7 linked regions of the Oryctolagus cuniculus genome follow. The protein of the gene in region 1 purifies or fractionates together with the protein of each later gene. This does not show direct contact. Links are inferred from orthologs where the notes say so. Each region holds a gene or a part of one and is shown in the gene's direction. Other genes may lie near its edges. The genes, in order: HDAC6, PKM, PLAA, TUBB4B, TIMM50, CCT5 and MYH10.

Region 1 (3,500 bases):
CCCGAGACACCCCAGCGTATCTTGCGTATCATGTGCCATCTGGAGGAGTTGGGCCTTGCTGGACGCTGCCTCAACCTACCAGCACGACCTGCCACTGATGCTGAGCTGCTCACTTGCCACAGGTCACATCTTTGGGCCCAGGGTTGGAACTGTGACTGTGGCCATGATTGGGACTCAGGGGTGGGAGCTTAGGGTTACCCTCACCTGTGTGGGAGCTGCTGCTGGACTGAGAAGGGTCCAAGTTCTGGTCTGGGAGCAGGCCCCAGGGAGGAAACAGAGCCACCTCACTGTCCACTGGCTGCCCCTCTTTGTGCCCCCAGTGCTGAGTATGTGGAGCGTATCCGGGCCACGCAGAAGATGAAGACCCGGGAACTACATCGCGAGGGTGCCAACTTTGACTCAATCTACATCTGCCCCAGCACCTTCACCTGTGCACAGCTTGCCACTGGCACCGTCTGCCGCCTGGTGGAGGCTGTGCTGGAAGGAGAGGTGCGGCCTCTGGCCTGCCATGTGGGGCTACCCACGATGGCTCGGAGATAGTTGGACCAGGCCTGAGAAAAGGGGCTGTGGGGAGGGGTCATTGCTCGCTAAGAGGGCCACCTAGAGGGTGGGGGTTCCCTCACAGTTGGGTGAAGTAGTGAAAGGAAGTGTAGTGAAGAAAGGGGAAGGTAAGTAAGAGAGCAACCTTTCTCCCCACACTCCCCCAGGTTTTGAATGGCGTTGCCCTGGTACGCCCCCCAGGACACCATGCTGAGCAGGATGCCGCTTGTGGTTTCTGCTTTTTCAACTCTGTGGCAGTGGCTGCTCGCCATGCCCAGGCCATCAGTGGACGTGCCCTGCGGTAAGACATTCTGATTCTTGGGACCTGGATGTCCCCCAGCCCAAAGTATAATCAACAAGCTCCATGTACAGCTCCCAGGACTTACTTGGAAATAAGCAGGGGTCAACTGCTCAGCACTTATCCAAAAAAGGACAACAAAGGAGGCTGGTCAGTGCCTACCCAGCTCAGACCTCCAGATTGGGGCACCTGGGCGCTTTAAACCAGGTCTCAGGTCCCACCCTAGCATTTATGGTCCTCAAAGGCCATCCCAACAGAACCCAGGTTGAGGCTCCAATGCTTCCTCTTGAAGACATGGGGTCCACTTAGCTTCTCAGCGCCCAGCCCTGAGAGCTTACTTAGGCCCAGAGTGCAGCCCTCAGACCTAGCCCTCATCCTTACACCAATAGGACCCAAAAGCCAGATGCTCGGTGCTTTCTCAAGAGACACAAGATCCCGTTCCTTAGCACCAAATGTCCCTGCAGACCCTAGGGGTCTATACCCAGCATTTACCCATGGGGTGAATGTCCTGGGATACTGAGGAGCTGTCCCCTTCCTAGGGTCCTGATTGTGGATTGGGACATCCATCATGGTAATGGGACTCAGCACATTTTTGAGGATGACCCCAGGTGAGGTACTGGGGCTGGGGGCAGGAGTGTGGTCAGGGAGGTGGGCGAACCATGCCTCATTGGGGGCTAGGGGACCCCTAACCATGGCCCTCTCTCTGCCCTATCCCTGGCAGTGTGCTCTACATATCCCTGCACCGCTATGATCAGGGCACCTTCTTCCCCGTGGGGGATGAGGGTGCCTGCAGCCAGATGGGCCGGGCTGCGGGCACAGGTTTCACTGTCAACGTGGCCTGGAATGGGTCCCGCATAGGGGATGCTGACTACCTGATGGCCTGGCATCGTCTGGTGCTTCCCATTGCATACGAGGTATGGCTCAGGATGTGTGTGACGCACCTGTGCAGATGGTAGCACGTGGCTACCTTCTTGGGAGTATATGTATGTGTCTGACTGATCACGTCACGAGACTGATTATATGAGACAGCCTGTGGGTGGCTACAGGGATGGCTTTCAGGGGATGGGGGTTGACTGTGACAGCCTTACATGCCTGTCTGCACAAGTGGCTTGTGGGTGAGTGCCTTCTCTGTGTAACATTGTATGCGTGGGCTTCTGTGTGAGGACTTTCTGGATGTGTGGCAGTGGCCTGTGTGGATGTGTCTGCCATCATGAATGCCTGTCTGGTGTGAGGGTGACCATGGGTCACACTGTCTCTGGAATTGTGTATGCAAGGAAGGGCAGGGATTTGAGCATGTATGCATACCCCTCTGTGCAGGTGGCTATCTGTCACCACCTTTTTTCTGCATGCTGAGTGCGATATGTCATTGGTTGCTGCTCTCTCTGTGACAGCCTGTATGGAACTCTCTGGATGTTGAAGGCTGTGTGGGACATCTATCTTTGTGTCTGTCTGTTAGTCCAGGCTTTTTGCATGTGCCTCTGATAGGGGAATGTGGCCTGGCTGTGGCTGCCTTCTCTGTGTGAACTGGGATGACTGTGGTGCTTACGTGATTAACCCTGCAAAGCTGGGCGTGGGTGTGCACCTTTAGATCTGTGTGTGTGACTATTCATGGGTGGCCAGAGCCACCTTCTGTGTGTGTGCAACTGTGTGTACAGGTGACTGCCTCCCGTGGACGCAACAGCACATGAGACCATTGTGACCGTGGACCATTTTCACTTCTGAGGAACTTTGCGTGACCAGTGTGAATGAATGATCCTGGCATTCACAGGACTGTCTCTGTGAGAGTATGTGTGGCTGCATGTCATCATCTTGTCCTGTGTGTGGCACTTCCACTGTCCACACAAGTGTGTGTGTGTACCTCTATTTGGCACCGTGTGTATAAAATCCTGTGTCTTGCACCTGTGTGTCCCATGTTTGACCCTGGAGTGCATGTGGATGGAGATATGTGTCTGTCTCTCCATTTCTCATGTCACCATCTCTTGACATCTGAGTCTCCATGTATCATGTCTCTGTATTTCATGACTCTGCCTCATGTCCCTGTCTGTCCATTTTAGTGTTATCATGTCTTTAAGTTCATGTCTGGTGTGTCCACATCTCTAGCAAACTGCATTGTGTCTCTGCTTCTCCTGTCTCTAATTCTCTATCTCCTGTGTTTCCCTGCCTTCCCCTTCCTGGTTGTCAGGTCCCTGTTCTTGCATCTCCCAGCCCCTGTCTCCATTACTTGAGTTGCATCTCCATGTCTTCATCTTTCCTTATCTCCCACATCTTTGGGTCTCCACGTCTCTAAGTCTCATCACTAACTGCCTACCAAAGCCAACCCCTGAATGAGCACACGTCTCTTCTCTCCCTACTCAGTTTAACCCAGAACTGGTACTGGTCTCAGCGGGCTTTGATGCTGCACGAGGAGACCCACTGGGGGGCTGCCAGGTGTCACCTGAGGGTTATGCCCACCTCACCCACCTGTTGATGGGCCTTGCTGGTGGCCGCATTATCCTTATCCTAGAGGTAAATCGCTTTTGGTCCCTGTCCCCATGGTGGGAGGGTACTTTGGAAGAGTTGGCTGCATCACTTGGGGCAGTTTTCCAAAGATCCCCTTTGAGTGTCCCCACATAGGATTGTTGGCACATACTAGGCACTAAAAAGAACACCACCCACATTAACA
Region 2 (4,054 bases), on another chromosome or scaffold:
CTGTCTCCTCCTCCTCCTCTCTTCCTTGCCCTCTCCCCTAACCCTTACAGATAGCTCGCGAGGCTGAGGCAGCCATGTTCCACCGCAAGCTGTTCGAAGAACTTGCGCGAGCCTCCAGTCACTCCACAGACCTCATGGAGGCCATGGCCATGGGCAGCGTGGAGGCTTCCTATAAGTGTTTAGCGGCAGCTTTGATAGTTCTGACGGAGTCTGGCAGGTAGGGCCCGAGGCCAGGTAACGCTGCAGGGGACCCTGCCTCTTGCGCCAGCTGCTCCAGGATGCGCGGCCTGGGCCCAGAGCCTCTGCTCAGCTGCAGGAAGACAGCCAGGGTGGTCAGGACAGGGCAGGACCGGAGGCTCTGCCTCGGTAGGCAGCGGCGTCTCGGGCAGCCGGTGGAGGAACGCCCCCGGGGAGTCTGGCTCTGCTGCTCCCGGGCTGCAGCCCTCAGGCTCGTGTTGGCCTTGCTGGGCCGTGTCCCCCACCCGCTGTCTGTAGACTCATCCCCTCCCCTCTCTGACAAAGCTCTGACGAAGCTCTGTCCCCTCTCGTCCCCCTGGACGGATGTTGCTCCCCTAGATTGCCCGTGAGGCAGAGGCTGCCATCTACCACTTGCAATTATTTGAGGAGCTCCGCCGCCTGGCGCCCATTACCAGCGACCCCACAGAAGCCGCCGCCGTGGGTGCCGTGGAGGCCTCCTTCAAGTGCTGCAGTGGGGCCATAATCGTGCTGACCAAGTCTGGCAGGTAGGAGGCGCCAGCGAGCGCCTGGCGGTGCCCTGCTGCGGGACACCCCTGCAGGAGGGGCCTGGGAGCGGTCCTGGCGCAGTGCGCAGATGGTGCTGAGCCAAGGTAAGCCCCTCTGCCCACCACCTGCACCCTGGCAGGGAAGGATGCTCCCAGGCCCCCGGGCCAGGACCAGCAGTGAGCGGAGCCGTAAGGGGTAGGGCTGACGACACATACTTGTTCTTTAAAAGCTGCTCCTTGGAAACAGAAGCAGAGTTGCCTTTTCTGGTTCTTAGGACCTCTTTGCAAACTTAGTCTGGAAAATCTGAATGCTGTTCCCATCTCTTCCAGACACACCAGTGGGTTCTGGGCCCAGGAAGGTCACCCCCCCTTTCCCCTCATTTTGTGGGGCTGTGGTGCCGGGGTTGGACTTGGCCTGAGTTACCCTCCCTCCCCTGCGGCCCTGGGAGACAGCGGGTGGGGAGGAGGGGCCGCAGCTGGGCTGCCGTGTGCGACCAGGAGAGGTCTGCGACGCCCACTCTTGGGCTTTCGGGCTGACCTTTGTAGAACGGCCGGCTTAGCTCTGCACTATTCTTAGCGGCAGTCTTCTGAGATTTCACAGCTCTGACCCCAGCAGCTGCCTCCCCTGAAGGCCAAGCCTGTTCCTGGCACCTGTTCTGTCTTCGCAGCTTGCTCCCGGGGCCTGCTCCTTCGCGGGCCCCTCCCCAGCTCCTGCAGGGCCCCTGGCACAGGGCTCAGCAGAGTCCCCACCTCCAGGGACCCCTGACAGGCGGAGCTGCCCCCATGCCCACCTTTCTCTCGTCACGAAGCCCTTACCTGAATCTACACAATCTTAGGAGTTAATCTTTGGTTAAAAAATCTTTTTTACTTATTTGAAAGGCAGAGTTGGAGAAAGGGAGACAGGTCTTCCCCGGTTCACGCCCCAAATGGCTGCAGCGGCCAGGGCTGGGCCAGGCTGAAGCCGTGCCCGTGTGGGGTGCCCATGTCCCTAAGCCACAATGCTGGCCCCCCCGGGAATTTTTTTTTTTTAAGATTTATTTATTTATTTGAAAGAGTTACACAGAGAAAGAGAAGCAGAGAGAGAGAGGTCTTCCATCGGCTGGTTCACTCCCCAATTGGCCACAATGGCCAGAGCTGTGCCAGTTCAAAGCCAGGAGCTTCTGGGTCTCCCACGTGGGTGCAGGGGCCCAAGGACTTGGGGCATCTTCCACTGCTTCCCCAGGCCACAGCAGAGAGCTGGATCGGAAGTAGAGCAGCCGGGACTCAGGCAGCACCCTTATGGGATGCCGGCACTGTATGTGGCGGCTTCACCTGCTATGCCACAGCACTGGCCCTTTGGGAATTCTTAAGATGCCTCCGGATCTTCAAGTTTGTCTGAGATCTGGAGCCCAGTTGCTGGGGCCGCTTGGGTGGACGAGCCCGGCAGTGGAGGGTCCGTGTGTTGCTGGGCCCAGGGTCTGGCAGCTGTGCTGCGGCTCTGCAGTCAGGCTGTGGGCCACACACTGCTCCGCTGTGCTTCTGCCGGCCCCAAGACGAGGCCCTGCACTAGGGCTGCCGGGTGGAGGGAGCAGGACTCCCTCTGCCATAGTGGAAAAGTTCAGGGTGTGGCAAGGCAGCTGCCAGCCCTGGCCACGTGGGGTCAGTGGATGAGATGGGGCGGCTCCCTGCCCTCAGAGGCACCAGAGAACAGGTGTGGAAGTGGCCAGAGCTTCAGGCTGGCGTAGTGAGTTGGATTAGGGGGTGAGCTATTGCCAAAGGCCCGGGGGGGGGGGGGCTCCAGGGACACTGCTTAATGGTCGTCCTGCTTGTCTCCTGTCCCAGGTCTGCTCACCAAGTGGCCCGGTACCGCCCGCGCGCCCCCATCATTGCCGTGACACGGAACCACCAGACCGCCCGCCAGGCCCACCTGTACCGTGGGATCTTCCCGGTGGTGTGTAAGGATCCGGTCCAGGAGGCCTGGGCTGAGGATGTCGACCTCCGGGTGAACTTGGCCATGAATGTCGGTGCGTGCTGGGAGCAAGACTAGAGACCTGAGGGGCAGGATACCTGGCTACTGGCTTCTCTGGGACCCTGGAGCCTGGGGAATATAACGGGGGGAACCCCAAGACCAGAGAGGCCAAGAGACCTAGCTGAGCACCCCTGGTCCCCACTGGGGATGTTCCCCGAATCCCACTGCTTGTCGGTCCTGAGCAGCGCCCGGGAGGGGAGGGGTGCCATAGCTCGCAGCCACAGTAAAACGCCTCGTTCTGTGGCAGTGCTCTGGGGGTTAAGGTTTATGTCATTTATTTGAAGGGCAGAGTGCCTGAGGGGGAGGGAGGGAGGCAAAGATCTTGCATCCACTGGTTCAGTCCTCAAATAGGCGCAACAGCCAGGAGAAGGCCAGAGTCGGGCCCAGAGCTCCATCCGGGTCCCCCCCATGGATGGCAGAGGCAAAGGCATTTGGGCCACCTTAGGATGCCTTCCCTGGCTCGTTGGTAGGAAGCAGGAGCAGCCTGGACAGGGGATGCCGGCGTGGAGTGGCAGCTTACCCTGCTGCACCACGCTGTTGGCCCCGCTGCCCGGGTGTTGGGAGAGGAGAGGAGCAGCTGGCTCTGACCTTAGGCAGTCTTAGGTCATGTCCAAGTCCCTGCCCACTTTGCCCCCGCTGTGAGGCTGGCGCCACCTTGTGGAGGGTGGAAGTCCCTCACCAGCTTCTCTCCTGCAGGCAAGGCCCGCGGTTTCTTCAAGAAGGGAGATGTGGTCATTGTGCTCACCGGATGGCGCCCTGGCTCTGGCTTCACCAACACCATGCGCGTGGTGCCCGTGCCGTGACAGCCCGCAGCCGCTCCTCCAGCCCCGTCCCGTTCCTTCCCCCAACCCATCTGTTAGGCCAGCAACGCTTGTAGTGCTCCCTCGGGCTGTAGTGTGGCACCGGTGGGCTGGGACGCCGGGAAGACGGCTCCCGCCAAACGTGTTTGTTCCGAGCCGGCGCCCCTAGCGGGGCTCACGCAGGCCCGGAGCAGGGCAGGCCCGGAGGGCCCCTCCCTAGCTTACGTGGGGGAAGGCCTGCCCTCCGCGTGTAGAGCTTCCAGCCAGAGCTGGGCCTCAAGGGAGGCCGCGCGTCCAGTTGAGGCAGACGCGGATCTGGCCCCCTGGGCCTCCCACTCCACGCTGTGTGTTGTGCTCATCTGTGTTCCCCACCCCACTCAGCTGTGGCCGCCAACAAACACTCCACCTCCACCTCCACCTAGCCCACGAGCGAGGCCTAGGCCTGCTGTCCGGAGCCTGCCTTGTGTCAATAAACAGCGGCTGAACACCTGCCTCCTCTCTGT
Region 3 (4,198 bases), on another chromosome or scaffold:
CTCCTGCCTTCTGGCTCCTGGCTTTGGATGGACACAGTTCTGGCTGTTGCGGCCATCTGGTGAGTGAACCGTGGATGAAAGACCTCTCTGTCTCTCTCTCTCTGTCTCTGCCTATACCTCTCTCTAGTTCTGCCTTTCAAATAAATAAATAAAATCTTTAAAAAAATAAGATTTATTTATTTGAAAATAAAAAATTGTATTGGTTCCAGAGAGGAACTAGACGGATACACATGATAAACCAGTATTGAAATTTGACAGGTAAAGAACGTGACATTCTAGGTTACAATGATAGTACCCACCCTATCCTTGCGTCATCCTTTAAAAAAGTGATTTATTTATTTGAAAGGCAGAGTTACAGAGAGGTAGAGGCAAAAAGAGAAGTCTTTCCAGGCAGATTCACTACCCAAGTGGCTGCAAGGGCTGGAATTGGGCCTACCCAAAGCTAGGAGCTAGGAGCCTCCTCCTGGTCCCCCTAGGTGGGTGCAGGGGCCCAAAGCCTTGGACTATCTCCTAATGCTTTCCCAGGCCACAGCAGAGAGCTGTATGGGAAGAGGAGCAGCCGGGACATGAACCGGTGCAGATATGGGATGCTGGCACTGCAAGCGGAGGCTTTACCACTACGCCACAGTGCCGGCCCCTAGGTTAAGATTTCTAACAGCTGGAAATACAGATCTGAAATTTGGATATGTCATTCTGAGGGATAGAGCTTTAGAAGAAAAGCAAAGTGGTAAATAGTCTCCTCAGGGAGAGGTATTCAGGGCTGTTGGAGAAAGAAAAGGAGGAGTGGTGATTCCAAACCTGAAGTGGGCGTTTCCAGTAGGGAGAAGTCAGAAAAGCGCAAACTGTAATTAATTTATAAGGGTTGTGAAGTGGAACTAGATGCAAGGGGGGAGCAGCTGGAAGTAGAACAGGTCTTGTAAACCCTTGCAGTCATTGTAGACGGATGACGACAAGCAGCATCACCTGGGGTTTGTCAAAACTGCATGAGCTACGTTCGGCCTCAGCCGGACCTACCGAATCAGAATCTGCACTTCAACAAACTACCGGAAGTAGGCGTACTTTCAAAGAGTACAACTGGACTATCTTACTTATTTGCTAACTTTGATGGTAGGGGGCAAAGAGACTAGTAATTTGAAACCAAGGCAAACTATTAAGCGGCCCCAATTTCCTGGTCTCTAGTTTTAATGGGGGGTGGGGAGGGAGGAAAACCGCTTGTTTAAAATGTCAGTAGACTGCAGAGGCGGTTTGAGGAAAATTGGTATGGACGCCGCAAAAGAAGTCAACAAGCAACTCCACCCCGTTGACCCCACAGCGCGCAGCTCCGCGGACCCAGATTTGAAAAATCCAGATTCTGCGCACTGGCTGCTCACGCCCCACTGGCGCGCGGCATTGTGGGACTCGTAGTCCCCGCCTGCTTGCAGAATTACAACAAACAGTTTGGCGGGGACGAGGAAAGGGTCAGAGTTTGGAAAGGACCCGAGGGCGGGGTCAAAACAGCCGGCCGTCCTTACCCCTTCGTCTTAGGGCTGCCTCGAGCGCGAGAGGGGACAGAACCCTAGCTGCCCGCCGGCCTCGGCAGCCCGGACGCACACGCTCTGCGTCATGGCGGGCTGGGGCGGATGATGAATTCCGGTGTGCAAGTGTGGGTTGCTGTGTCACTCGGCCCGCTCGGCGCGCCCCTTCCCCGCCGCCCTTCCGCACCGGCTCTTGGGCTCTTCCGGTCCCCAGGCGCCCCTCACCTGCAGGCTCGTCTCCCGCCGCCGCTTGGAGCACGCCGAGTCTCCGCTGCGGACTGATCTCGCGCGGTGCCCGGGATCCGGGCGCCGGAAAGACCCTGGCCATGGCTAGCGGCGCTGCCAGGTACCGGCTGAGCTGCTCGCTCCCGGGTCATGAGCTGGACGTGCGGGGCCTGGTGTGCTGCCTCTATCCGCCGGGGGCCTTTGTGTCGGTGTCCCGAGACCGCACCACCCGCCTTTGGGCCCCGGACAGGTGAGCGCTGCGAGTGGGGCTGTCGGCCGTCTGTGTTGCAAGCTTCCCGGCGAGTGGGAAGAGTGTCTCTTCCCTGCTGTAGCCTGCTCTTTCCCTCTCTTGCTGGTCTTTCCTCTGCTTCCCGCTCCTTCCCAACCCTCTGAGCCCTGGCTCTCTGGGCACTCCTCGTTAAGATTCTAGCGAGACTGAAGTGGAAGGAACCCCAGGTGGGGGACCGAGATCGGCTTTCTTGTCCTAACTTGAGCACAATCAAATGAGTGACCTTGGACGCGCCTCTTATTATTTATTTTTTTGGTGGTGGTGGGGGGGGAGGGCTTCGGTTTTCGGACGATGATCTCCCAAGTGTCTTCTAGATTTAGAGGTTTACTAATTCCATGTGCATCTTCCTAAGTGAGTAAGTCCAAAAGCATCTGGCATGTCCTCGTTCTCCCCCAGAAGTTGTACTGTAGTCTTCCTTCCGATAGGTTTTGAACACGTCAGTTCTCAAAAATTGCATTGACTCCATCCCTGTTGTCCAGTTTAGAGTTCCTTAGTCGGGGGTCTGTGAGGGTCTTGGGGGCAGGGGGTGAAAACTTCTCAAAAGTTTTATTGCCATATGGGGACGTGCTGTTTTCTTGAGGACAGAGCTTGTACTAACCTGAAAAAGACTTATCAGAGGGGTTCAGGAGGGGAAGAAGGTCGAGAACCAGGTTAACCTCCAGTCCAGACCAAGTTCAAGGGTTTGGCTCTGATTTTAGCTGGTTTTTAGCAGGAAATTTAAAACCAGAACAGAGATTTTTTTTTTGTTCCGGAAAAAGAAAAATTGAGGTTAGTGGTTTTATTATTTGGCAAGTCTGCCATCACTGGAGGTTTCAGGGTTTGGGTGGCCATCCATCAGTCGATTGCTAACTATAGAGTGCCCCCTGTTTATTTTGGATCTTGGAGAGGAAAATGAAGACAAGTTGGCTGTGTTTGTACAGCTGTCTTGCAGTCTGCTGAGGAACAAGGCTTAAAACCCAAGCAAATAAGTAGTTAAGAACTGGCACCTGTATTATGAAGAAAATAAATGGGGTGAAGGAAGGTGTAAAAGAGGGGGCCTCTCTGAAGAGATGTGTGCTTTTGACATTTGAAGCACTGACCACATAGATTAAGCTGGGAGCCTTGGGGAGGAAGAATGAATAGAGTTGAACTGAAAGAGCTAGGCAGAGGCCCTGGCTTGAAAAAGACAAGTCCCTAAGTGGCAGGAGGGAATGAGCTGTGAACTGAGATCAGGCAAGAGCCACATCATGGAGTCTGCAGGTGGGAGCCTTCAAGAACTTAGCAGTGGAGAGCAGCGTGATGTGATTTACCCATTGAGAAGTGTCTGTCAGCTGCTGGTGGAGAAGGGGCACGGAAGTAGATCTTTTCGGAGGCATTTGCAGTATGCTAGACTAGACTAGGTTTTATAAAGCAAGCCTTGTATTGGATGAGTTGACCTCTACAGGTCTCTTCTAACATTGTCAGGACTATCTAAAGGTTGTCTGTTGTAATTTTATCTATCCTGCCATTAAACTTTTACATGTTTTGTAGAATTGTGTTAGGTTGACAAGAGTTTAAGTTGCTGGAGTGCTTGCATTTTCAAGCAACGTTTAGTTGAAATGATCTTCTATTTGAAAACTAATTCTTGTCTTTTAACTCATGTTCTTTTAAAAAAACTTATTCATAGATTTATTCAACTAACACTGATGAAGAGCTTGCATTTTGCCAGGCACAAGGCTAGAAAATGAGTGATAAGACAGATAAAATTACTTAATTTGTTATTTGTAACTGCATAGGTTAAAGGATCTCATAGTCACGGAGTGTTAATCTCTTAGCCATCATGAATAGAATGACCCAGCCACACCATTTATTGTTATAAAAAGTGTCTTCAAGGCCAAGATACTGGCAATTTTTATTTCATAGTATATTTATAAAATTAGAGTACCATACAATATTTGGAGCTAAGTAGTAAATGAAGTTTGTTTGCTCGTATACATTATTGATATGGTTCTGGTTCAGCATATTAAGTGTAGAGAGTAGAATGATGGGGGAGTTTTGTTCTAGGGAGATGGAAATAGTTCTGTTCTAGAGTGGACTAAGTCTTTCACAAAATCCCATTGAAAACCCAGAAAGTCTCTCTGGACCCTCTGAAGTCCCTTCAGAATAGAGACATTAATTTTTGGGTTGTGCACTGACTTGAGACAGCCAACAT
Region 4 (4,161 bases), on another chromosome or scaffold:
GCGACTGTCTGGCTGCTGCCCCTGGCTGAGGGTAATGCATCCTCCGCTGGGACATGACCACTGGCAAAGGCGGCCTCCCACGTGGGCACCTGCAGGAGGGCCGGCGCCTGCCTGGCCACCGACTCCAGGCCCGGAGGTGGGGGGTACCTGCAGGGCCTCTCCCCCCGCCCGGTGCAGAGCTGCTGCTGTATTGAGAGGCCGACGTGCGCGTGGCCTGCGTCACCTGCAAGACGGGGGCTGCCACACTGACCTCGCAGCCCCTGCGCGCTGGTCACAGCAGCAGGGAGGGGGTCTCCGGTCACCCCAAGTGTGGCTGGGCTGGGGAGGCGCTGACAAGTTGGACGAGGGCCAGAGACCTGAGCTTCCCCGTGCGTGAGGGCCTGCCTGTGGACTGCATGGGCAGCGGAGCCACCCTGGAGGACGCCCGCACTGCGCACGCGCCCAGGCAGGCAGGCTCCAGACCCCAGGGACCGGGCCGTGTCAGCGTGGGCAGCAGGAGCCGGGCCAGCCTTGCGGGCTGCTCTGGGCACAGTGGAGCTGCCGACTCACGGTCCCCGCAGCACGGAGAACGCCCCCTCGGGGCGCCCCCCGCTAGGAACAAGCAAGTGCTGCCCCCCGACCGACGCCGGGAGAACAGGACCCGGATGGGCCCCGCGCCCACGGCGGTGACCGCGTCCAGCGCAGCCCGGAGCGCGCGGATCACCCTTAGAGACGTTACCAAAACACAACGCGAATGTGCGCCAAGGTGCAGCCGTGTGCGCAACCGTCTTTCAACACAAGTCAAGCCGGAAGCTGGTGCGCAGGGCAGGAGAGCCCACCCCGTGTCCATGCAGCCCTGCGCCCCGGGCGACCGGCGCACGGCCAGTGCGGTCTCCACAACACAGCGCGCGGCGGGGGCGGCGGTCCAGACCCCGCCCCTGGACGCGGCCACTGCGGCACCGGGGGGACGGGGCTCTGCGCGGAGACCCGCGGGGCTCGCCACGGCCGTGCGGGCCCGCGCGCCAGCGTGTGCACCGCGGCGTGCGCCCCGGAGGAGGCGCGCGGGCTGGCCCCGGACCACGGGCTCGCGCGGCCCCGCCGAGGCCTGAGCTGTCGCAGGAGGCCCGGCCGGAAGCCCGCGCCCGCGCCCGCGCTCCCTAACGCCCCGCCCGCGCGCGTCTCCCGCTGCACTGCGGCGGTTACCAGGACGCTGACCCAGGACGGCCAATAGCGCCGGCCTGTCGGCGTGCTCCCGGGCGTCCGCCAATGAGAGGGCAAATCAATCATTTGAAACACCCAATGGACAGAGCACTGCAGCGCGAGGCGGGGCGGATTGTGATAGGGAAGCAGGGGCCCGCGTCTGACCAATAAAGAGCGGACATCGTTGGGAAGGTGGGCCTTAAGCAGCTCTATTGACAGAAGCTCGGCCAGTCAGACGAGGCCGCTCTGCAGCCTCGTTCTGGCGGCCCAATCCGAGGCTGGCGGAGGCGGGTGCAGGGGGTATATAAGCGTCGGCGGAGCGACGGTTGTAGCACTCTGCGCGCCCGCTCCTCCGTGTTCTTGTCGGTCTTGCTGCTTGTGCCGTCGCCGCCGTCGCCATGAGGGAGATCGTGCACCTGCAGGCCGGGCAGTGCGGCAACCAGATCGGCGCAAAGGTGGGCATTCGCGGCGCCGCGGGCCCGGCGCGGCGTTGCCGGGCGGGGCGGGCGGCTGGGAAAAATGGCGGCAGCGGCTGGGCGGGCGGCGTTCCCGCATTGCGGCTCCCGGAAGCGCAGCGCGGACCGCGACCGGGGCCGCCGGGGCCCGAGCCCGGGCGCCGGCTGCCGGCGGGGGCGGGCGGAGCTGCGGGCCCGAGCGCCGGTGGCCGCGGGCGCGCGGGCCCGGGTGGGGGAGGGGAGGGCCCGCCGCGCCCATCCGGGGCGGGGCCGCCCCGGGCGCACCGGCTGCGGTGACTCAGCCGCACGCCCGCCCGGGCGCGCCCGTGCCTTGCAGTTTTGGGAGGTGATCAGCGACGAGCATGGCATCGACCCGACGGGCACCTACCACGGGGACAGCGACCTGCAGCTGGAGCGCATCAACGTGTACTACAACGAGGCCACCGGTGAGCCCCCGGCCGCCCCCGCGCCCCCCGCCCGCGGCGCCGCGGCCGCCCGCGCGCTGACGCCCCGCTGTCCCCGCAGGCGGCAAGTACGTGCCCCGCGCCGTGCTCGTGGACCTGGAGCCCGGCACCATGGACTCCGTGCGCTCGGGGCCCTTCGGGCAGATCTTCAGACCCGACAACTTCGTGTTCGGTGAGCGGTGGGGGCCGCCCAAGGTCACGGCCCGGAGCCGCCTGGTGCCGCCTGAAGCGGCTTTGGGAGGGAGGCCCGGGAGCCGCAGGGGCGGGGCTGCTCCCGCACGGTCCTCCCCCGCCCCGGGTTGGACTTGAGCAGGGCTGGCGGCTGTGCCGGTGACCACGTGCCTGGCCCCAGAGTGACCACTTGTCCTCCTGCAGGCCAGAGTGGGGCCGGGAACAACTGGGCCAAGGGCCACTACACGGAGGGGGCCGAGCTGGTGGACTCGGTGCTGGACGTGGTGAGGAAGGAGGCGGAGAGCTGTGACTGCCTGCAGGGCTTCCAGCTGACCCACTCGCTGGGCGGCGGCACGGGCTCGGGCATGGGCACCCTGCTCATCAGCAAGATCCGCGAGGAGTACCCCGACCGCATCATGAACACCTTCAGCGTGGTGCCCTCGCCCAAGGTGTCGGACACGGTGGTGGAGCCCTACAACGCCACGCTGTCCGTGCACCAGCTGGTGGAGAACACGGACGAGACCTACTGCATCGACAACGAGGCCCTCTACGACATCTGCTTCCGCACGCTCAAGCTCACCACGCCCACCTACGGCGACCTCAACCACCTGGTGTCGGCCACCATGAGCGGGGTCACCACCTGCCTGCGCTTCCCCGGCCAGCTCAACGCCGACCTGCGCAAGCTGGCCGTGAACATGGTGCCCTTCCCCCGCCTGCACTTCTTCATGCCCGGCTTCGCGCCCCTCACCAGCCGCGGCAGCCAGCAGTACCGCGCGCTCACCGTGCCCGAGCTCACCCAGCAGATGTTCGACGCCAAGAACATGATGGCCGCCTGCGACCCGCGCCACGGCCGCTACCTGACGGTGGCCGCCGTGTTCCGCGGCCGCATGTCCATGAAGGAGGTGGACGAGCAGATGCTGAACGTGCAGAACAAGAACAGCAGCTACTTCGTCGAGTGGATCCCCAACAACGTCAAGACGGCCGTGTGCGACATCCCGCCGCGCGGCCTCAAGATGTCGGCCACCTTCATCGGCAACAGCACGGCCATCCAGGAGCTGTTCAAGCGCATCTCGGAGCAGTTCACGGCCATGTTCCGGCGCAAGGCCTTCCTGCACTGGTACACGGGCGAGGGCATGGACGAGATGGAGTTCACCGAGGCCGAGAGCAACATGAACGACCTGGTGTCCGAGTACCAGCAGTACCAGGACGCCACGGCCGAGGAGGAGGGCGAGTTCGAGGAGGAGGCGGAGGAGGAGGTGGCCTAGGGCCGGTCGCCAGCGCGCGCTCGCGGTGTGAACTCTTTATTGGCTCAGCGCCCCTGGCAGGGCCGTCTGCGTGCACCTGCCCCCTTCCTGTCCGCACACCACCATTAAAGCGTTTCATAGTGCCTGGCTCCGCCTCTGCACTTCCTTCTGGTAGGCCCTGCGGGTGCTGTTGCCAAAGGTCATGGCGTAGTTGTCCTGCATGGCTGCGGGGGAGGCGCGGCTGAGCTGGGCCGGCTGCGGGCCCCGCCCTGCCCCTGGGGTGCGGGAGGGCGGGCAGGGCTGGTACTCACAGGGGATGAACCCCATGTAGAAAGGGATCATGCCTTGGCTGTTGTAGATGGTGCTGCTGGACCAGTGGGCGCTGGGCAGCCTTTGGCCCAGGGCACAGCCCGGGTTTCTGAACAGAAACTGGGGGGGGCAGGTGGGTGCTGGCGCCCGTCAGGCAGGCAGAGCCCCCCCCAGCCTCCGCAAGCCGGGCCACAGGGAGCAGCCTTGGGGCGGTTGTACCTGCGTCTTGTCGAACTCGTCCAAGGCCTGTGTCACCCCGTCACGGTAATTCATCCCCATCACCCAGGCGAAGCGCGGGACGAAGCCAGCGTAGCCTGGGGGGGCACGCAGTCAGCCCAG
Region 5 (2,247 bases), on another chromosome or scaffold:
TGAACCAGCTGATGGAAGATACCTCTCTCTCTCTCTCTCTCTCTCGCTCTCTCGCTCTCTCTCTCTCTCTCTCTCTCTCTCTCTGCCTCTCAAACGACTCAGCGTGTTTATTTAGAACAGATTGTGCACCCTCAGCCCTGGTGGCCCCGGGGCCAGATGATGCTTTGCTGCCCGTGTAGCTGGGGAGGGTATCTAGCATCCCCCCACCGGATGCCAGCGTCTGACAGCCAGAAGTGTCTCCAGAGGTTGCCTGGTTTCCCAGGGAAAGGGAGAGGCAAAATCGTTGCCAGTTGAGAACCGGTGGTTTCAAATACCCATTGTCCGTATGTATTGTGTGGCGTACTTAGACTCAGCACCGTGGCTCAAAGTGGGCAGACACGGCGCCTGCTCGCCCAGAATAGGCCGGGTGTGCTGGCGTGCTGTCCGCAGATTTGCGTGCGTGTTCCCGGCGGCCCGGCATCGTGTGGTCGGGAGTGTCCAGGCGAAACCTCCACCCTCACCTGACAGTGCGCGCTGCTTCCACCTCTGGGCTCGGGGCTGAGCCAGTTCACACCAGGGAGTCAGGATCAGACCGCTCGTGAACGCACTCTGTCTGGAGGGTGAGCAGCGGCTTATCCCGGAACCCTTGTGCCTGGTGTCCTAGATCCGATTCTGGTACAGCAGTTGCGCCGGACCTACAAATATTTCAAGGACTACAGACAGGTGAGCAGGGGCTCCGGACCCAGCCCCCGTCCCTGCACCTCCGGCCCGGGCCTCCTTGGCTGAGCTCCCGTCCCGCCCCTGTGCCACAGATGATCATCGAGCCCACCAGCCCCTGCCTCCTGCCAGACCCCCTACGGGAGCCGTACTACCAGCCGCCCTACACGCTCGTCCTGGAGCTCACTGGTGTCCTCTTGCACCCTGAGTGGTCGGTGTGTCCTGGGGAAGGCAGCAGGTTGGGGGCTACCCCTGGGCAGTGGGTTATGATGCTGTGGGCCTCCTGTGTTACCTCGGAGAGGAGGTGGCACGTCCCCCTGCCTCGCCGTCCTCACTACCCACTCTGAGGGGGTTCTTTGGCATGCCTCAGCACACAGTAGGGCCGCGAAGGAGTCCGCTCTCGTTCTGGGCCCCCGCCCTGACCCCCAGGAGCTGGGTCCTTGTCCCCTGGGGCCCCTGAGTGTCAGTAGTTCACCGTCCTCTGTCTCCCCAGCTGGCCACAGGCTGGAGGTTTAAGAAGCGCCCGGGCATCGAGACGCTGTTCCAGCAGCTCGCCCCTCTGTATGAGATCGTCATCTTCACGTCAGAGACCGGCATGGTGAGGCTGGGGCCCAGGCTGTGCGGCCAGTGTGGCTGGGGCAGGGTGCCCCGGGCCAGGGCCCAACCTGACCTCTGTCTCCCACCCTGCAGACTGCATTCCCGCTCATCGACAGCGTGGACCCCCACGGCTTCATCTCCTACCGCCTGTTCCGGGATGCCACACGATACATGGATGGGCACCATGTGAAGGTGCTGTGTGCGGGTTGCGGGTGGGCCTCTGGGTGCAGGGGCCCTGTCAGAGACGAGGGACCGGCTCTGAGCCTGACCTCCACCCTGCCTGTGGTTCTGCCCAGGTCCGCCTCCTGGTGGCTGCCCAAGCCTGCTCCAGGCGGGGCAGAGCCTCTAAGCCTTCACCTGTCCATAGACTCTGGGAATGGGGGCGAGGGGGGGAGCGTGAGGTTTGGACGCTGTTTTTCGTTCGTGTCTGGAACTGCGAGTGACCGGTAGCCTGTGATGCTGTTTGGGGTTTGTGTGACCTAGGTCTGCTCCGTGGCCACCAGTGTATCCAGTGTCTGTGGGTCTGGGTGGGGCGTTTCTGTCTGTGTCTCAGTTGGTCTAGGGGTGTGTGTTCTTGGGGACTCAACAGTACGTGGCCATGATTGGAGGGTCTCTCTGGTGGCTTCCGTGTGCTGCTGTAGATTCGTCTGCACATCTTTATCTGGGTGGGGGATGTCACAGTCACCTGAGGCCGGGTTAATCAGGCAGGTGGCCAGCTCCCTCCCCAGGGAACCTGCAGTCCAACTCCCTGTGTGTGGCCCTGGGGATCCCCGTGTGGTCAGGGCTGTGTGTGTATCCCTCCCTCTGCCCGCCCCTTAGGTGGGGAGGGGACACAGATGTTGACCCGACTTGTACCCACTTCCAGGACATTTCCTGTCTGAATCGGGACCCAGCCCGCGTGGTGGTTGTGGACTGCAAGAAGGAAGCCTTCCGCCTACAGCCGTACAACGGTGT
Region 6 (4,139 bases), on another chromosome or scaffold:
CATTAAGCATTTCCGGTTTTCCGCAACAACCTAATGAACCAAATGGCTGGCGGAATTCACCATTCTGAGCGCGCAAACACTGAATCCGCCAAGCAAGAAGGAACGGAGGCTCCAGGATCTAAAATGTCCGGGGAGCACCACTCCAGTTGCGGAGGGTGGGCCGACTGTGAGGGTCCGTTCTGGACTCCCCAGCCAGAGTTCAGCCTCACGGTGCGCGCCCGGTCCTCGTTTACTGGGCACAGCCTGGCTGGCGTGGAGAAGGCAGCCAGGGCCGTGGACCCTGAAGTAAAGGCAGCAAAGGGAATCAGGGCAGGGGGGTGTCGGGCGGGGTTGTGAGGCGGCCCTGCACAGGGCTCAAGAATGGGACCCGCTGTGGGAAATCAGGGTTTACTGTTTTTTAAATTTTTTTTTTTATTTCAAAGAGAGACGAGACAGAGATCTTCCACCCCGTTGATTGACACCCCAGATGGTTGCCAAGGGCCAGGGCTGGGTCGGGCTGACGCCAGGAGCTTCTTCCAGGTCTCCCCCGCGGGTGCAGACGCCCATGGACTTGGCCATTAGCAGGGAGCCGGACCCGAAGTGGAGCCCAGACGGGGCCCTAGCCCACTAAGCCACAGCGGCGCCCGCGTACGAGGCTGGCTCGGGGCCGGGCACTGCGCGCTCTGCGCCCTCACAGCAGCCCTGGAGGGCACACGCTGGCATTCTCACGGCCATGTCACACGAGGACACCGGCGCGCGGAGGTCCAGCGACTTCCCCAGCACGGCCCGCGCCGTGGGCCTGCGACACCGCCATGCCACCCCGAGGGCCGAGCTAACGGCAGTCATCCGCCCAAAGGCGCCCAGAAGCGTCCTGGCGGACAGGCCGCAGACCCGAGAACGGGGCCCGGGCTGGCGCAGCGCGCCGAGGGGCAGGACGGCCGCCTGGGGCCGGGGGCGCCCGCGGCCCGCTCCCGCGCTCAGACGACACCGACGGCCCCACAGCGCCAGGCCCGCGCGCCCTCCCGCGCACGCCGCTCCGGCCTCACCTCCTCCTCCTTCCATCGCGAGATTTCCGCACTCTTAAAAAAAAAGGCGGGGGGGATGTGGAAGCTACCATCTTCTCAGAGCCGGGGTGAGAAGAAGTGTAAAACAATGCTTTAAGAAAATAATTTTTCGTTGTAACTCACTACGAAGAAGATATCAATTATAAATCTTTAGGTAATGATTCAATTATTCCTACTCTTGACCTGTGAGTTCTAAAAGTCTTCAGCTCCTCCCCCCCCTACAGCTTCCCGGATAATAGAAGTTTCCAAAGGCCGCCGATTCCAGAAGGTACTGTCTGGCGTCAAATTAGTTTCAGTTGAAAAATAAGTCTCGCGCTGTCCGCATTGCGCATGCGCGAGCTGCTGCGCTCTCTCGCGAGAGGAAGGTGTGTTCTGGGTTCCGGCGTGGTCTCTGCCGGTTGCAGGAAAGTAACTCCTGCTGCTGAACCATGGCGTCCGTGGGGACCCTCGCCTTCGATGAATATGGGCGCCCTTTCCTCATTATCAAGGATCAGGACCGCAAGTCTCGTCTTATGGGACTTGAAGCTCTCAAGGTAAGGGGCCCGAAGACGCTCGTGGCGGGCTAAGGGGAGGCGGCCGCGTCCGGGGCTCTGCGCCTGCGCAGGGTGGGCCGCGGTTTTCGCCATGTGCTCCCCGAAAGGTCGAGAATCGCCTCACCCTGGGCGCATCTCGCTCTCCGAATGTTGGGTCCGGCGGCCCGCGAGCGCCGTTAGGGCCGCCCCGCGCTGAACCCCGCGGCAGCCCCTGAGAAACGGGGTTCGCCCTGCTTTCGCGAGGCCGTGGTCGTTGACAGCGTGTGCCTCTGTGCGTGGCCCAGTCCTGGGTGCGCGCTCGTAAAAACACGAGATCCTTCAAAGGAGAGCGCAGCCGTAGCGGGAGTGGGAGATGGGCGCGTGTGACGAGTGGGTACGGGGGCGGCCAGGCGTAAACAGGGGGTCCCAGCGGGGCCCAGCCGACTTGAGGTCGCAGCGGTTCCCGAAGCTGCCAGCCCGGGACGCCACCCCGACGGAAAAGGGCTTCCCCGCCGAGGCTGGGGTGGGCGGAGGGAAGAGGGAGGAGGGCCAGCTGAACTCATGATTGACAGGGTGCAGAGGCTGGGGGGCGCGGAGGGCGCGGAGGACTTGAGCAGCCCGGGGTCCGCCCTGAGCTCCCTTGGGGGCTCGGGGTTGTGCTTGGATCCGGAAGCAGCACGGTTCCCCCACGGACTCGCAGCCTCACTCCCAGGGCGGGTCGTCTCTGCCGAGCCGGGGACTCGGGGCTGTTTGTTTCCCTTCCAGGGAATAGGGCTCAGGCTGCTGGTATTACAGATTTATTCCATTGTTGAGTTCTAGGGATCCACGGAGAAAGCTCCAGTACACGCACCACACGTAAAGCATAATTAAGCGACAGCTTGTTGTGTGGTACCGCCGTAAACTGAGACGGGTGTTCGCAGGATGCTGCAGGGTCGCATACGACTGGGTAGCTGGACCGTGATTCGGGGCCGCGGTCTAGAGCTGCTTTCTCAGCGCGGCTTCGCTGACGCCTGGGGCCAGATCACTGCCCATTCGGGGCCCTGGCCCGTGTAGATGTTAAGCACTTGGCCTCTGTCCACTGTGCCGAGGTTCCCCCTGCCCAGTTGTACCAACCAGAAGTTGTCCTGGGAAAGAATTCCCGCCACCACCACTTCCCTAGAGTGTTATTTAGGTTTCTCGTTACACTGACCTGTAACTCGGCATGTATTTAAGGCGTAATTGTGTTTTCGCAGTTGGACCTTTTATGTCTTCTGTAACCTGCCAGGTGGATGACCACCGAGCCGCCTTGGGGAGTTGCTGTGTGTGAGGGGCGGCAGCTAGGTCTCGATCCTGGAGCGCTTTGAACTCGAGTGCTGAGACACTAGGGATCGTGGAAGCCTTGGAAGTCGTGAGCAGAGCATTTGAGCGTAGTTAGCCGGCGGATTGGTTGCCTGGTTGTGGGGAATTTTAGGGGAGGTGGGTTCAGTGGTCCTGGGATTCTGTGGTTGCTTTGGGTCTGGTTAGGCTGATGATGGCAAGGAGGGAGAGAAAGGAAGCGCAGACCAGTTACCTGTGGAAACGGGGAAGGGTCTTTCCCAGGCGGAGTGGAGGGGCAGGATGCTCTGCCAGGAAGACTGTTGGCGGTGACTAACACCCCCCACCACCACCACCCAGGACTGCTCTACTCTGGGAATGACTGAACCTGCACACAAGGTGCAGTGAGCGGCACGTTCTCCTCAGAGTGTAGACGTCAGTCCCGAGGCCTGTTCACAGCACTGCCTGGATTGGTGTGGTTGAGTACCAGGCTCTGTGTTGGGGTCATGGACTTGTTCCTGGCTCTCCTGCAGAGAAGTGGGACCAAAATATGTGAAGAATTGAAGGCATCAGGAAGAGAAATGACATAAACCAAGACTTGAACATTCTCATGGGTGAAGGCTATAAGCACTTTTTCCCCCTTGTCATTTAGATCCTGAAACGAAATCTGTGCTTTATTGAGACTTTTTCAGTTAAAAATGGCAGTGTGTTCTATCTTAACGCAGTAGTACCTGGGACTTGGGCTCTGAACCTGAGTAACCCAGATGAAAGCAGCTGAGTTTGCAGTCGCGCTGGCGGGGTCCTGTTGGGTCTGCAGTGTGGGTGTGTAGACTCCGCGGAGCTGCAAGTGGGTGGAAGAGCGTTTCTTCCACTTTCCTGAGCAGCTGGACGAGGTGTCTTCCTGTCTGCCAAATCCCTCACCACCTTTGTTTTCTGCCTCTTACTCTCTCTCTCTAAAATATTTATGTCTTGTACTCAGTGTAGTAGCTAGGGGTGGTGAGGAAAACAAATCACTCTGATACAGCTATTCGCCCTCCTTAAGAGGTTGCCAACTTTGGTCCGTAATTATAACTTGGAATTTCAGCAGAGTGGAGGAAGGGTATTTTTTTGTTTTTAAGATTTATTTTATTTATTTGAAGAATTAGAGGTAGAAACAGAGAGAGAGGGGTCTTCCACCTGCTGGTTCCTTCCCAGATGGCCGGAGCTGAGCTGATTAGGAGCCAGGAGCTTCTCCCATGTGGGTGCAAGGACCCAAGGATTTGGGCCATCCTCCACTGCTTTCCCAGGCATC
Region 7 (3,500 bases), on another chromosome or scaffold:
GCTTTCCATTCTGAAGGTCTGGTGACTGGGTTTTTGGTTGCTGGTTTTTTTTTAAGATTTACTTATTTGGCAGGACAGCGACAGATCTTCCATCCACGGGTTCACGCCCCATCTGCCTACAGCAGCAGCCAGGGCTGGAACTCCATCCTGGTCTCCCACGTGGGTGGCAGGGCCCCTAGTACTTGGGTCATCACTTGCTGCCTTCCAGGCGCACTGGCAGGGAGCAGGAGCAGGAGCAGGGCAGCCAGGACCTCAACGGGGTCCCAGTGCGGGCCGCCGCGGCGACCCTGCTCCCGTTCTGCACCCTGAAAGTCCCTAAGTCAGCCCACCTCCAAGAGGAAGCCAGCGGGCTGGCGCTGTGGCCCAGCGGGAAAAGCCATCGCCTGCTCCCTGCCGATGCGCCTGGGAAAGCCGGAGGATGGCCCAAGTGTTTGAGACCCTGAACCGGTGTGGGAGACCCGGAGGAGGCTCCCGGCGTCAGGTCAGCCCAGCTCCAGCTCTTGGGGCCATCTGGGGAGTGAACCAGCAGAGGGAAGACTTTTCTTTGTCTCTCCCTCTCTGCCTTTCAAATAAATAAATCTTTCCTTAAAGGAAAATAAAAAAAAAAAAGGAAATTAAGCTCAGCTCCAAGTTGGAGTGGAGCCATTTAAAGCCCCACACTGTCGGATGGGGGTGGGGGTAGGGCAGATTCACATCAGCTCCGCCTCTGTGGTCCTGTGACATAAAGACCCCCCACCCCAGCGAGCACCTCCGCTCTGTGGCGGTGCAAGAGGGGTCTGCTTCACCCCTTGGAGGCCTGCTGGCTTCCTGACATCACCCCAGAGCACGCCCCTTCCCACAAGGTTGCGGCGTCCGTAGCAGCTCCATTCTGTTTGCCGAGAGCACTGGCTTCTGAGCCTCCAAGGAGGCCACCCCTCGGGTGCGGCAGCCCCCAGGCTACGCCCCAGCAGGGCACCAGGAGACCATGTCCAGTCCAGGCACTGACGGCCAGGCCGTCGCAGTGAGCTCGAGCTGGCCTGTCCCCGACCCCTCCCCTGCGGAGCCAGCACAGCAGGGCTCAAGAGCGACTGCACCTGCGGCCGGCCGGTCTGTGAGGCGATGACCGTGTGCGGCCCGTGAGTGACGTCAGGAGTACCCGATGGCCCTCGGCCAAAGAAAGGTTCTGCAGCCCCGGTGGGCCCCGAGCTTGCCGTCAGGGACTCTGGCTTTCCGTGTCGGGGACGGTGCGCCCTGGCGTCTGAGGGCCCCCTCAGTGAGTCGGCTGCTGGGTTAGTAACCGCTCAGCCTCGGAGCGCAGCTCTGCCGGGCAGCAGCAGGGGGCAGAGCGCTCCGCCGCCAGCCGGCTGCTCTCCTCCGGCCGGGGCCCTCGGTTTAACCAGGCATCGTTCCATGCTCTCCGTCAGGTGCGGGAGCTCGAGGCCGAGCTGGAAGACGAGCGCAAACAGCGGGCGCTCGCTGTTGCTTCCAAGAAGAAAATGGAAATAGACCTGAAGGACCTTGAAGCGCAAATCGAGGCCGCGAACAAAGCCCGGGACGAAGTGGTCAAGCAGCTTCGCAGACTGCAGGTGTGCGGCCGGCGCCAGCCTCGGCGGTGGGTGGGGCGGCGGCCCGCCGAGGTGGCACTCGCGGACCTGCCGTGCCTGCAGCGTGCGTGCGTGCGTGCGTGTGTGTGACAGAGAGAGACTGAGCTGGGGACGGGCTCCGGGTGCCACGTCCTTGCCGGAACGTGCTCTGGTGGCCTGCAGCAGCCCTGCTGTGGTGCTGTCCTCGGCGGCGCTGGGATCCGCAGTGCGCACCCGTCATCGCTGCCCGGGCTGCACACCAGCTCTCACGGCTACAGCCACAAAATGTCAGCTCTGTAGCAGTTCCGGCCTGCGCCCGCACAGCCGCCTCTGGGGGGCAGTCAGCGTCAGTAGTGATCTAGGGGGCAGCTGTCAGGATGTAGCTTAAGAATTTATGCTGGCAAAATGTGAAAATGAGGTTTTTATACAAAGACCTTAGCTGAAATGTTATTTATGATAGCAAAGAGGTGGAAGCTAAGTGGAAAGTGCTGTGGGCTGAGGTGGCGAGGGCCCGAGAACAGCAGCAGGCCGTAAGCCCAGGCAGCACCTGCGCACACGCACAGATGTTCACGCATGTGTGTTTGCACACGCGTGGGTTTTTACAGGGACACGGGCATACCTAGAGAAAATGTTGACGTCCCTCCGGATCCTAGGTCTGAGTGACTTCTCTGCTTCCGTGAGGTCTTCCCCCGGGGCTCTGACTGCGCAGCTTCCGCGCTAGTACTGGACACTGCAGCAGCACTGACTGCCCAGCGCTCTACTGAGTGCAGTCCCCGGTTCACCTGCCTCGCATTCAGGCTTAGGCAGCCGCCACGCCGTCTAATTGTGGACACTTCGTTCCCCCTGCGAGAACCTGTACCCACTCGCTGTCACGCCCGGCCCCGCCTGTCAGCTCCTGTCTGTCTCGGGGTTGGACGTGGCACGTGGGTAGGCCGGCTCCCGTCACGGAGCAGCCTGACACAGCACGAGTAGTTCGTTCCTCTCTACTTCTGAGTAACGTCACACTGCTTGGAGACAGCCACGTGTACTCACTGTTCATCAGGGTGTTCCTTGCTCCCGCTGTCTAGCTGGGACGAGTGGTGCTGCTCTGAGTATCTGTGTGCAGCTGTGTGGACGTGTGCTGTCCACGTGCACGGGGGTGTCACTGGGAGTAGAACTGCTGGGTCTCAGGGTAACAGTAACTTAGTGGGAACTGCCAGACTCCTGCATAGCAGCGCACGTGGGGTCCCGGCAGCCAGGCAGCAGGGTTCACTTCCTCAGATCTCGCGGCACTGCTGTCTGTCCATCACTCACTGTGCCTTTGATGTGCACGTCCCTGATGACTAACCCTGGGCCTCCTAGGTGCCTGTTGGTCAATACTCATTTACGAAAACTGCCTTTGACCCCGACCGGGACTAGAACCCGGGGTGCCGGCGCCGCAGGTGGAGGATTAGCCTAGTGAGCCGCGGCGCCGGCCTCGTTTTATTTCCATCACCCAGTTTGAGCACAGACACGACTTCCTGACTCACAGATGGACTCTGAAGCTTGTGGCCCCCGCTCAGAGCGCCTGCACCCTCGTCAGAACGCACGGGCCATGCTGCAGTGTGTGTGTTTCTGGGCTCTAGCGGCTCCGCGGCTGTGGGTGCCTGTCCCTACACCAGCACCAGTCTTTCTGCGGCTTGGAAATCGGGAAGTGTGACTTAGGTGACTTAGCGCACGCTGTCCCTCTCTTTCCCGTCTCTTTGCTGTTTTCAGTTCCTAGAAATTCACATGAATTTTAGGGTCACTTGTCAGTTCCCTCACACACACACAGCTGACGCGGATTCTGACACTTACTGTGTGGACTCCAGGTCATTTGGGCAGTGTCATCTTAATAAGTCCACTGGCTCAAGACGTTGGGTGTCAGACCTGCCACTGCTTTGTCTTGTTTGTGCCACTGTGACTGCTTCACGTTGCCGT

What was found.
Region 2: the proteins of HDAC6 (region 1) and PKM purify together in Homo sapiens (affinity purification with mass spectrometry, with the first as the bait; 4 studies listed by BioGRID). This does not show direct contact. The link is inferred for Oryctolagus cuniculus from reciprocal best matches to the Homo sapiens genes HDAC6 and PKM.
Region 3: the proteins of HDAC6 (region 1) and PLAA purify together in Homo sapiens (affinity purification with mass spectrometry; 4 studies listed by BioGRID and IntAct, with this or other methods). This does not show direct contact. The link is inferred for Oryctolagus cuniculus from reciprocal best matches to the Homo sapiens genes HDAC6 and PLAA.
Region 4: the proteins of HDAC6 (region 1) and TUBB4B purify together in Homo sapiens (affinity purification with mass spectrometry, with the first as the bait; 4 studies listed by BioGRID). This does not show direct contact. The link is inferred for Oryctolagus cuniculus from reciprocal best matches to the Homo sapiens genes HDAC6 and TUBB4B.
Region 5: the proteins of HDAC6 (region 1) and TIMM50 purify together in Homo sapiens (affinity purification with mass spectrometry; 3 studies listed by BioGRID and IntAct, counting the BioPlex papers as one, with this or other methods). This does not show direct contact. The link is inferred for Oryctolagus cuniculus from reciprocal best matches to the Homo sapiens genes HDAC6 and TIMM50.
Region 6: the proteins of HDAC6 (region 1) and CCT5 purify together in Homo sapiens (affinity purification with mass spectrometry, with the first as the bait; 3 studies listed by BioGRID). This does not show direct contact. The link is inferred for Oryctolagus cuniculus from reciprocal best matches to the Homo sapiens genes HDAC6 and CCT5.
Region 7: the proteins of HDAC6 (region 1) and MYH10 purify together in Homo sapiens (affinity purification with mass spectrometry; 3 studies listed by BioGRID, with this or other methods). This does not show direct contact. The link is inferred for Oryctolagus cuniculus from reciprocal best matches to the Homo sapiens genes HDAC6 and MYH10.

Annotation. Positions count from the first base shown.
Region 1 is NC_091453.1:34,001,268-34,004,767, forward strand, and holds part of HDAC6 (histone deacetylase 6), read left to right. Parts: coding exon 1-122; intron 123-320; coding exon 321-489; intron 490-707; coding exon 708-841; intron 842-1,377; coding exon 1,378-1,446; intron 1,447-1,559; coding exon 1,560-1,752; intron 1,753-3,193; coding exon 3,194-3,343; intron 3,344-3,500.
Region 2 is NC_091443.1:110,896,947-110,901,000, forward strand, and holds the end of PKM (pyruvate kinase PKM), read left to right. Parts: intron 1-50; coding exon of another isoform or gene 51-217; exon of another isoform or gene 218-576; coding exon 577-743; intron 744-2,564; coding exon 2,565-2,746; intron 2,747-3,447; coding exon 3,448-3,554; downstream 3,555-4,054. UniProt on the Homo sapiens protein: Catalyzes the final rate-limiting step of glycolysis by mediating the transfer of a phosphoryl group from phosphoenolpyruvate (PEP) to ADP, generating ATP.
Region 3 is NC_091432.1:190,206,583-190,210,780, reverse strand, and holds the start of PLAA (phospholipase A-2-activating protein), read left to right. Parts: upstream 1-1,398; 5' UTR 1,399-1,840; coding exon 1,841-1,989; intron 1,990-4,198. UniProt on the Homo sapiens protein: Plays a role in protein ubiquitination, sorting and degradation through its association with VCP. Involved in ubiquitin-mediated membrane proteins trafficking to late endosomes in an ESCRT-dependent manner, and hence plays a role in synaptic vesicle recycling.
Region 4 is NC_091432.1:237,515,660-237,519,820, forward strand, and holds TUBB4B (tubulin beta-4B chain), read left to right. Parts: upstream 1-1,413; 5' UTR 1,414-1,577; coding exon 1,578-1,634; intron 1,635-1,971; coding exon 1,972-2,080; intron 2,081-2,159; coding exon 2,160-2,270; intron 2,271-2,473; coding exon 2,474-3,534; 3' UTR 3,535-3,648; downstream 3,649-4,161. Other genes in the region: CIMIP2A (ciliary microtubule inner protein 2A), read right to left, coding at 3,649-3,737, 3,825-3,942, 4,042-4,136. UniProt on the Homo sapiens protein: Tubulin is the major constituent of microtubules, a cylinder consisting of laterally associated linear protofilaments composed of alpha- and beta-tubulin heterodimers.
Region 5 is NC_091449.1:15,487,221-15,489,467, reverse strand, and holds part of TIMM50 (mitochondrial import inner membrane translocase subunit TIM50), read left to right. Parts: intron 1-643; coding exon 644-702; intron 703-791; coding exon 792-911; intron 912-1,189; coding exon 1,190-1,294; intron 1,295-1,386; coding exon 1,387-1,485; intron 1,486-2,158; coding exon 2,159-2,247. UniProt on the Homo sapiens protein: Essential component of the TIM23 complex, a complex that mediates the translocation of transit peptide-containing proteins across the mitochondrial inner membrane. Has some phosphatase activity in vitro; however such activity may not be relevant in vivo.
Region 6 is NC_091445.1:39,635,724-39,639,862, forward strand, and holds the start of CCT5 (T-complex protein 1 subunit epsilon), read left to right. Parts: upstream 1-1,339; 5' UTR 1,340-1,471; coding exon 1,472-1,576; exon of another isoform or gene 1,577-1,597; intron 1,598-1,659; exon of another isoform or gene 1,660-1,928; coding exon of another isoform or gene 1,929-1,949; intron 1,950-2,054; exon of another isoform or gene 2,055-2,078; intron 2,079-4,139. Other genes in the region: ATPSCKMT (ATP synthase subunit C lysine N-methyltransferase), read right to left, coding at 1,026-1,041. UniProt on the Homo sapiens protein: Component of the chaperonin-containing T-complex (TRiC), a molecular chaperone complex that assists the folding of actin, tubulin and other proteins upon ATP hydrolysis.
Region 7 is NC_091448.1:52,931,114-52,934,613, reverse strand, and holds part of MYH10 (myosin-10), read left to right. Parts: intron 1-1,403; coding exon 1,404-1,565; intron 1,566-3,500. UniProt on the Homo sapiens protein: Cellular myosin that appears to play a role in cytokinesis, cell shape, and specialized functions such as secretion and capping. Involved with LARP6 in the stabilization of type I collagen mRNAs for CO1A1 and CO1A2.